2 linked regions of the Xenopus tropicalis genome follow. The protein of the gene in region 2 interacts with the protein of the main gene of each other region in a pairwise test. Links are inferred from orthologs where the notes say so. Each region holds a gene or a part of one and is shown on either strand. Other genes may lie near its edges.

Evidence for each region. The genes of interacting proteins can lie anywhere in the genome.
Region 1: the proteins of aida (region 2) and pinx1 interact in binary tests that used the Homo sapiens proteins (3 or more experiments, as listed by UniProt). The link is inferred for Xenopus tropicalis from reciprocal best matches to the Homo sapiens genes AIDA and PINX1.

The regions. Positions count from the first base shown.
Region 1 is NC_030681.2:151,067,331-151,071,443, forward strand, and holds the start of pinx1 (PIN2/TERF1-interacting telomerase inhibitor 1), read left to right. Parts: upstream 1-1,313; 5' UTR 1,314-1,428; coding exon 1,429-1,447; intron 1,448-2,863; coding exon 2,864-2,973; intron 2,974-3,658; coding exon 3,659-3,751; intron 3,752-4,113. UniProt on the Homo sapiens protein: Microtubule-binding protein essential for faithful chromosome segregation. Mediates TRF1 and TERT accumulation in nucleolus and enhances TRF1 binding to telomeres. Inhibits telomerase activity. May inhibit cell proliferation and act as tumor suppressor.
Region 2 is NC_030681.2:9,589,431-9,593,456, forward strand, and holds the start of aida (axin interactor, dorsalization-associated protein), read left to right. Parts: upstream 1-1,226; 5' UTR 1,227-1,315; coding exon of another isoform or gene 1,316-1,422; intron 1,423-4,026. UniProt on the Homo sapiens protein: Acts as a ventralizing factor during embryogenesis. Inhibits axin-mediated JNK activation by binding axin and disrupting axin homodimerization. This in turn antagonizes a Wnt/beta-catenin-independent dorsalization pathway activated by AXIN/JNK-signaling.

The DNA.
Region 1 (4,113 bases), about 140 Mb from region 2:
TGTAGAGCGACAACGACTCTGAATGGACACGTCTCTTATGGATCCTGTGGAAACAGAATGTTAAACCCTTACATAACTCAGGAAGCGCACCGGGGACTCAAGCCGCTCCGTCTTGGACATGGGCTGGGGAGATTGCTATGGAGCTCACCCATAGTAACTGTAATGAAGGTCCTGTTAACTTTCAACTTTAAATTAAAGTAACACTGACACGGGAAAACATGTTTGTTACAAACCCGTCAGTTAATAGAGCTTCTCCAGCAGAATCCTGCATTGTAATCTGTTTTTCCCATGGGGCTAGCCATATTCTTCATTTCCCAGGGTGCCACAGCCATGTGACCTGTGCTCTGATAAACTTCACTCACACTTTACTGCTGCGCTGCAAGTTGGAGTAATATCCCCCCTCCCCCACCCCTCCCCCCCAGCAGCCGATCAGCAGAACAATGGGAAGGGAGCAAGATAGCAGCTCCCAGTAGGTATCAGAATAGCACTCAATAGTAAGAAATCCAAGTCCGGCTTGGGACTCCTCCAGTTACATGGGAGTAGGAGAAACAATAGGTTAGCTGAAAGCAGTTCTAATGTGTAGCGCTGGCTGAAAGCTCAGACTCAGGCACACTTTACTGCTGCGCTGCAAGTTGGAGTGATATCCCCCCCCTCACCCCCAGCAGCCGATCAGCAGAACAATGGGAAGGGAGCAAGATAGCAGCTCCCAGTAGGTATCAGAATAGCACTCAATAGTAAGAAATCCAAGTCCGGCTTGGGACTCCTCCAGTTACATGGGAGTAGGAGAAACAATAGGTTAGCTGAAAGCAGTTCTAATGAGTAGCGCTGGCTGAAAGCTCAGACTCAGGCACAAGGCACTGAGATGGCGCCTACACACCAATATTACAGCTACAAATACATTTGTTGGTACAAGAATAAAAGGTTAAATGGCAGAGGGAATTATTTGCTGTGTAACAGTGTCATTTAGAGATACAAAGTGTCCCATAAATAACATGGCAGGGTCCCTTTGAAGGGGAAGTGGTGTAACGCACACACGGATACCCTATAGAAATGTGCACGTTTTATTGATATTCGCCTTTCTCATTTACCTCACGCTAGAGCAAAACAAACACCAAGCAGCCAAAAGGCGAATGTATAGAATCGGTTTATACCGATACAGACTGCAGAGGTTCAGTTTCACAGTCCCGCTATAACACTCCGCATTCTGCTCAATACTAGGGCTGTTACTGGGCGGCAGGAATATATATAGCGTTTACCAGTGGCCCCGCCCCTTTACTGGCGCTCACGTGACTAACAGCAGCTTCTGTGCCCGGCCTTACGTCATCAACACGCTGTGTCGCGGTCACTGTGACGCGGGATTATTTCCTTTTTCGCCCAGCTGTGCCCTGAGGAACATCTATCCCGGCAGTGCCCTCCAGCTCCGGGACCATGGCAATGCTGGCAGAGCGTAAGTGTGGCCCGGGGGCCTGCCATTAGCCTTGCACTCTGCCCCTTGCACTGCTGCAGCACCAAGTGTGTCAGTGGGGGGGCAGCCATGTGTCTTACACACCATGTGACTCTCTGTGTGGCTCCCCTGCTGCTGAACTACAACTCTTAGTAACACTGGGAATGCTGGGAGTTGTAGTTACTATGATTTCATTTCCCAGGGTGCCACAGCCATGTAACCTGTGCTCTGATAAACTTCAGTCTCACTTTACTGCTGCGCTGCAAGTTGGAGTGATATCCCCCCCACCAATGCTTTCTAACAGAAACAATCATTGTTGTGGCAACTTAAAGGGACCCTGCCATGATATTTATGGGGTACTTTTTATTTCTAAATGACACTGTTACACCGCAAATAATTCCCTCTGCCATTTAACCTTTTATTCTTAAACCAACAAATGTATTTGTAGCTGTAATATTGGTGTGTAGGCGCCATCTCAGTGCCTTGTGCCTGAGTCTGAGCTTTCAGCCAGCGCTACCCATTAGAACTGCCTTCAGCTAACCTATTGTTTCTCCTACTCCTATGTAACTGGAGGAGTCCCAAGCTGGACTTGGATTTCTTACTATTGAGTGCTATTCTGATACCTACTGGGAGCTGCTATTTTGCTCCCTTCCCATTGTTCTGCTGATCGGCTGCTGGGGGGGAGGGGGGGGGATATCACGCCAACTTGCAGCGCAGCAGTAAAGTGTGCCTGAGTCTGAGCTTTCAGCCAGCGCTACACATTAGAACTGCTTTCAGCTAACCTATTGTTTCTCCTACTCCCATGTAACTGGAGGAGTCCCAAGCCGGACTTGGATTTCTTACTATTGAGTGCTATTCTGATACCTACTGGGAGCTGCTATCTTGCTCCCTTCCCATTGTTCTGCTGATCGGCTGCTGGGGGTGAGGGGGGGGGATATCACTCCAACTTGCAGCGCAGCAGTAAAGTGTGCCTGAGTCTGAGCTTTCAGCCAGCGCTACACATTAGAACTGCTTTCAGCTAACCTATTGTTTCTCCTACTCCCATGTAACTGGAGGAGTCCAAAGCCGGACTTGGATTTCTTACTATTGAGTGCTATTCTGATACCTACTGGGAGCTGCTATCTTGCTCCCTTCCCATTGTTCTGCTGATCGGCTGCTGGGGGTGAGGGGGGGGGGGATATCACTCCAACTTGCAGCGCAGCAGTAAAGTGTGAGTGAAGTTTATCAGAGCACAGGTCACATGGCTGTGGCACCCTGGGAAATGAAGAATATGGCTAGCCCCATGGGAAAAACAGATTACAATGCAGGATTCTGCTGGAGAAGCTCTATTAACTGCTGGGTTTTGAAAAAAACATGTTTTCCCATAACAGTGTTACTTTAATGGCACATTTGGGGTATAACCTGCGCTGTTGCCTTTAGCCCGTAGGAAACAGAAATGGTCGGTAGACCCAAGAAACAGCGCCTGGAGTAAGGATGAGTCCAAATTTGGCCAGAAGATGCTGGAAAAGATGGGCTGGTCCAAAGGCAAGGTAGGTAGCTCTTTATACCGCCACAACTCGAGTCATCATGGTAACTTTATTAGCCATTTCTTTCACTCTGGGGGAGGGGCAACTTTTTGGGGATATGGAAATGTAAAAGAAATAAACGCTAAACACTGAACTTCTCTGGGATGATTTAGGTCAATAAGGGGGGTGGAGCCCTGGTCACAGTATAAACGCCCCCTATGTTAAAGGGGTGGTTCACCTTTAACTTAACTAAACTTTTATTATGTTATAGAATGGCCTATTCCTAGCAGCTTTGCAGTTGGTCTTCATTATTTTTTTTATCATTTTTGAATGATTTACTTTCTACTTCTACATCTTTCCAGCTTTCAAATGGGGGTCACTGACCCCGACAGATAAAAACGATTGCTCTGTGAGCTTACAATTTTATAATTTGGTTTTTTTTCTTTCTATTCAGTCCCTCTCCTATTAATATTCCAATCTCTTGTTTAAGCCACTGCCTGGTTGCTAAGGTAAACAAAACCCTAGCTACTAGATAGCAGCTGATATTCCAAATGGCAAGGCTGCTGAACAAAAAGTTAACTGAGAAACCAGAAATAATAAATGAAGACCGATTGCAAATTGTCTCTCATTATCACTGTGTACATCATATTAAGAGTTAATTTAAAGATGAACAACCACTTTAAAGTTTGTCTCTTTTTTTCTCTTATAGGGGCTGGGAGCTAAGGAACAAGGGAGCACAGACCACATCAAGGTGCAAGTAAAGAACAACACTCTGGGACTCGGAGCCTCTATCAACTATGAGGTAATGAACTGCCATAGTCATCTCATTCTGCTACATGCACTCTCTCTGCTCAGTATAGCGGCACTCAGGGAAATGGTCACAGTCAGTGCAACAAGCATCTCTGGTCTCTGGAGCAGTCTTACCATAGGCACAGGGAGAGAGAACCAAATCAAATAAGACAGGTCAGGACTGATACAGTCTCCCCCTAACTGGCCTTCAGGCTGGGCCCCCTTAGCCCATAACAAGGTTACAGATATATAGAAACATTGGGGTAACAGTCACCCCGCTATAGTTCCAGGGGTACCCAGGGCACAAATAAGCACTCACCCCAAATCCCCCCCCTAACTGGCCTTCAGGCTGGGCCCCCTTAGCCCATAACAAGG
Region 2 (4,026 bases):
AAGTAATTGTAATTAAAAATCTGAGCTGTCAATCATATATTGCCTGCCCTGCCTCTATGCCTCCGGCATAGAGGCGGGGCAGGCAATATATGATTGACAGCTCAGATTTTTAAATACATTTATAACAGGTATGGATGATTTAATTAAAAAAAGAATTTGGGTTCCATGTTTAAATGGGCTTATTTATTAACACAGGAGACAAACATTGCCGATGATGTTTCCCAAAGCAACCAATCAGCAATTAGATTTCAATGGCCCCCTAGAAAACAAAAGCAAAGATCTGATTGGTTGTTATGGGCAACATCCCCAGTAATGCTAACCACTATTACTAAATACACCTCTTGGGGCTTATGTTATAAAAGGCACTAAGTTTGCCCAGGAGCAGTAACCTATAGCAACCATTAGTTGCTATGGGTTACTGCTCCTGGGCAAACTTAGTGCCTTTTATTACATATAGGGACATTTAACAATGTGTCCTTTGTAAAGCAGTATACCTACCCCCCAACTCACACCCTGTACCGTGGGGCCACATTCGTTGCTACCATAAACCCGGCCCTGTGTTGGGCTGGAAAGGCATTAGGTCAGGAGTAGGTTATACTCACCCCTAAGAAGCTGAGCGCAGCCGGCTGACTAAACCACTTCAGTGCCGCAAACTCTGCGCATATCCCCCTACCCAGCCGACTGTCACACGCTCGCTTCCGGGTTCTGACGCAGCAAGGTAAGCCCGCCCACTCACGCCCATAGGCGGAACAGACTAGGGACATTCCATCTGCGCATGCGTACACCTACACTCGGGAATCCCTCACTCTCCCTACTAGCGCGTCACTGAAATATAAAACTCCAAGCCATTTCGCCTTTATATAAGTCCCTCCCGTCAATCATCCCCTCACTGACCCCCGTCACCCATAAGATTACGTCATGCCATAGAGACTGCCAGTAGCTCATAAGCGTTCCGCAGCCTCTGAGGGTGAGGAAGTTACCTGGGTAACGACGCGACTCGGTTGAAACTATATATAAGTAGGCGTGGTTTCTAAAAACACTTTGCCCAATCAGCGCGAAGCAAAACAAAGGAGACCTTGCGTGTAGGCGTGGTTTAGGCTAGAAGCGAGGCTCGGTACGCAAATGGTAGTAAGGGAAGGGCTGGGCTGTGAGGGGCTTGGCCGCGGATGCAGGCTGCTGGGTTTTGGGTGGGGGTCAGGGGATCTGCTACTCTTGCAGCTGAATGGCACAGTGCGGCTGGCAGCGCCCGGGAAACATGCGGAGCTGAGCTGCCCCTCATCCCTTTCTGCCCCGGGAGGGGCGTCAGCTCCCAGCCATGACTGACCTGAACAAGATCCTGCACAAATGGAGCGCCAGCCTCAAGAAGGGCACTGACTTCGACTCATGGGGGCAGCTGGTGGAGGCCATTGATGAGTACCAGATGTAAGTGGCTTGGCTGGCAGCCTCACCCTTGGGCCGGGCATAGAGTGGGTAAACTAGCCTTAGGGTACCAGGAACCCCCCCCCCCCAGTCAGCAGCTGCAGAACCTCTTGGGATGGGCATAGAGTGGGTAAACTAGCCTTAGGGTACCAGGAACCCCCCCCCCCAGTCAGCAGCTGCAGAACCTCTTGGGCCGGGCATAGAGTGGGTAAACTAGCCTTAGGGTACCAGGAACCCCCCCCCCCCAGTCAGCAGCTGCAGAACCTCTTGGGCCGGCATAGAGTGGGTAAACTAGCCTTAGGGTACCAGGAACCCCCCCCCCCCAGTCAGCAGCTGCAGAACCTCTTGGGCCGGGCATAGAGTGGGTAAACTAGCCTTAGGGTACCAGGAACCCCCCCCCCAGTCAGCAGCTGCAGAACCTCTTGGGCCGGGCATAGAGTGGGTAAACTAGCCTTAGGGTACCAGGACCCCCCCCCAGTCAGCAGCTGCAGAACCTCTTGGGCCGGGCATAGAGTGGGTAAACTAGCCTTAGGGTACCAGGAAACCCCCCAGTCAGCAGCTGCAGAACCTCTTGGGCCGGGCATAGAGTGGGTAAACTAGCCTTAGGGTACCAGGAACCCCCCCCCCAGTCAGCAGCTGCAGAACCTCTTGGGCCGGGCATAGAGTGGGTAAACTAGCCTTAGGGTACCAGGAACCCCCCCCCCAGTCAGCAGCTGCAGAACCTCTTGGGCCGGCATAGAGTGGGTAAACTAGCCTTAGGGTACCAGGAACCCCCCCCCCAGTCAGCAGCTGCAGAACCTCTTGGGACGGGCATAGAGTGGGTAAACTAGCCTTAGGGTACCAGGAACCCCCCCCCCAGTCAGCAGCTTTAGAACCTCTTGGGACGGGCATAGAGTGGGTAAACTAGCCTTAGGGTACCAAGAACCCCCCCCCCAGTCAGCAGCTGCAGAACCTCTTGGGAAACAGTCCTGCCCATGACATGGTTATTCGGTATAGTGCCTCAGTAAGCTTGCCTGAGGGGGAATGCGCTGTTCCTATGTTGCAGGTATGCATAGTAAGTAATTGCCAAGTGGAGACACCTTCATGCAGTACCAGCTGTGGTGGAACTAGTGGTTACTTTGCCCCACAGCAACATTATTCTGGGACCCCTCAACTTTAGGAATATCTTTCTCATATACTGAAACTTCCTATCAATATCTACATTATAAATTGTGAGTGTTATAGTGTATATATACTGTATAGTGGGCCCGTTATAGTGTATATATACTGTATAGTGGGCCCGTTATAGTGTATATATACTGTATAGCGGGCCCGTTATAGTGTATATATACTGTATAGCGGGCCCGTTATAGTGTATATATACTGTATAGTGTGCCCGTTATAGTGTATATATACTGTATAGCGGGCCCGTTATAGTGTATATATACTGTATAGCGGGCCCGTTATAGTGTATATATACTGTATAGCGGGCCCGTTATAGTGTATATATACTGTATAGCGGGCCCGTTATAGTGTATATATACTGTATAGCGGGCCCGTTATAGTGCATATATACTGTATAGCGGGCCCGTTATAGTGTATATACTGTATAGCGGGCCCGTTATAGTGTATATATACTGTATAGCGGGCCCGTTATAGTGTATATATACTGTATAGCGGGCCCGTTATAGTGTATATAGACTGTATAGCGGGCCCGTTATAGTGTATATAGACTGTATAGCGGGCCCGTATAAGTGTATATAGACTGTATAGCGGGCCCGTTATAGTGTATATATACTGTATAGCGGGCCCGTTATAGTGTATATAGACTGTATAGTGGGCCCGTTATAGTGTATATAGACTGTATAGTGGGCCCGTTATAGTGTATATAGACTGTATAGTGGGCCCGTTATAGTGTATATAGACTGTATAGTGGGCCCGTTATAGTGTATATAGACTGTATAGTGGGCCCGTTATAGTGTATATAGACTGTATAGTGGGCCCATTGGCCGCAGTGACAGCAGCCCAGAGCAGAAAAGGGGGCTACGGGGGGCATTTTTGGGGGCACAGATCTTACCTGCTAAAGGGCTGTGGGGGCCTTGGGCTGGTACAGAATCCCAAAACTGCATTTTTAGCCTGTTCCAGACATATTGGATACCATATACTCCTTTGGGGGAGAATATAAAAGCACCCAATGCTGGGGCTGAGTGTCTAAGTTGCCCAGTGGGGCTGTACTACCAAAGTAGTTCCATTGGTGGCTAGCTTCTTGTTACAGTGTGAGCCAACTGTTTGCTGTGGGGACAGAGCTAACATGTGAAACTAAAACCTGGGGGTGTTATTACACAAGGCTCTTTCATTGGGCAATTGGAAAACAGGGACTTGCTGCTTCCTCGGGGGAGGCCATTGGCAACATTCTCCAGCAGCTGGCTGTAGCCATAAGGCAAAGCCGCAGTGCTTGCAGTGCCATTTTAATGCCCAAGGCTTTCTCTGACCTGGGCATGAAACCATAGAGAAGAACACACATTAGCTAAGGAATGCCCAGTCTGCCAACCTCCCCAGTGTTGCCAGAGGGCCACATCCCTGAAGTAGAAATGACAGAATTAGTTGCTGTAATGTGCTGGGAGTTTA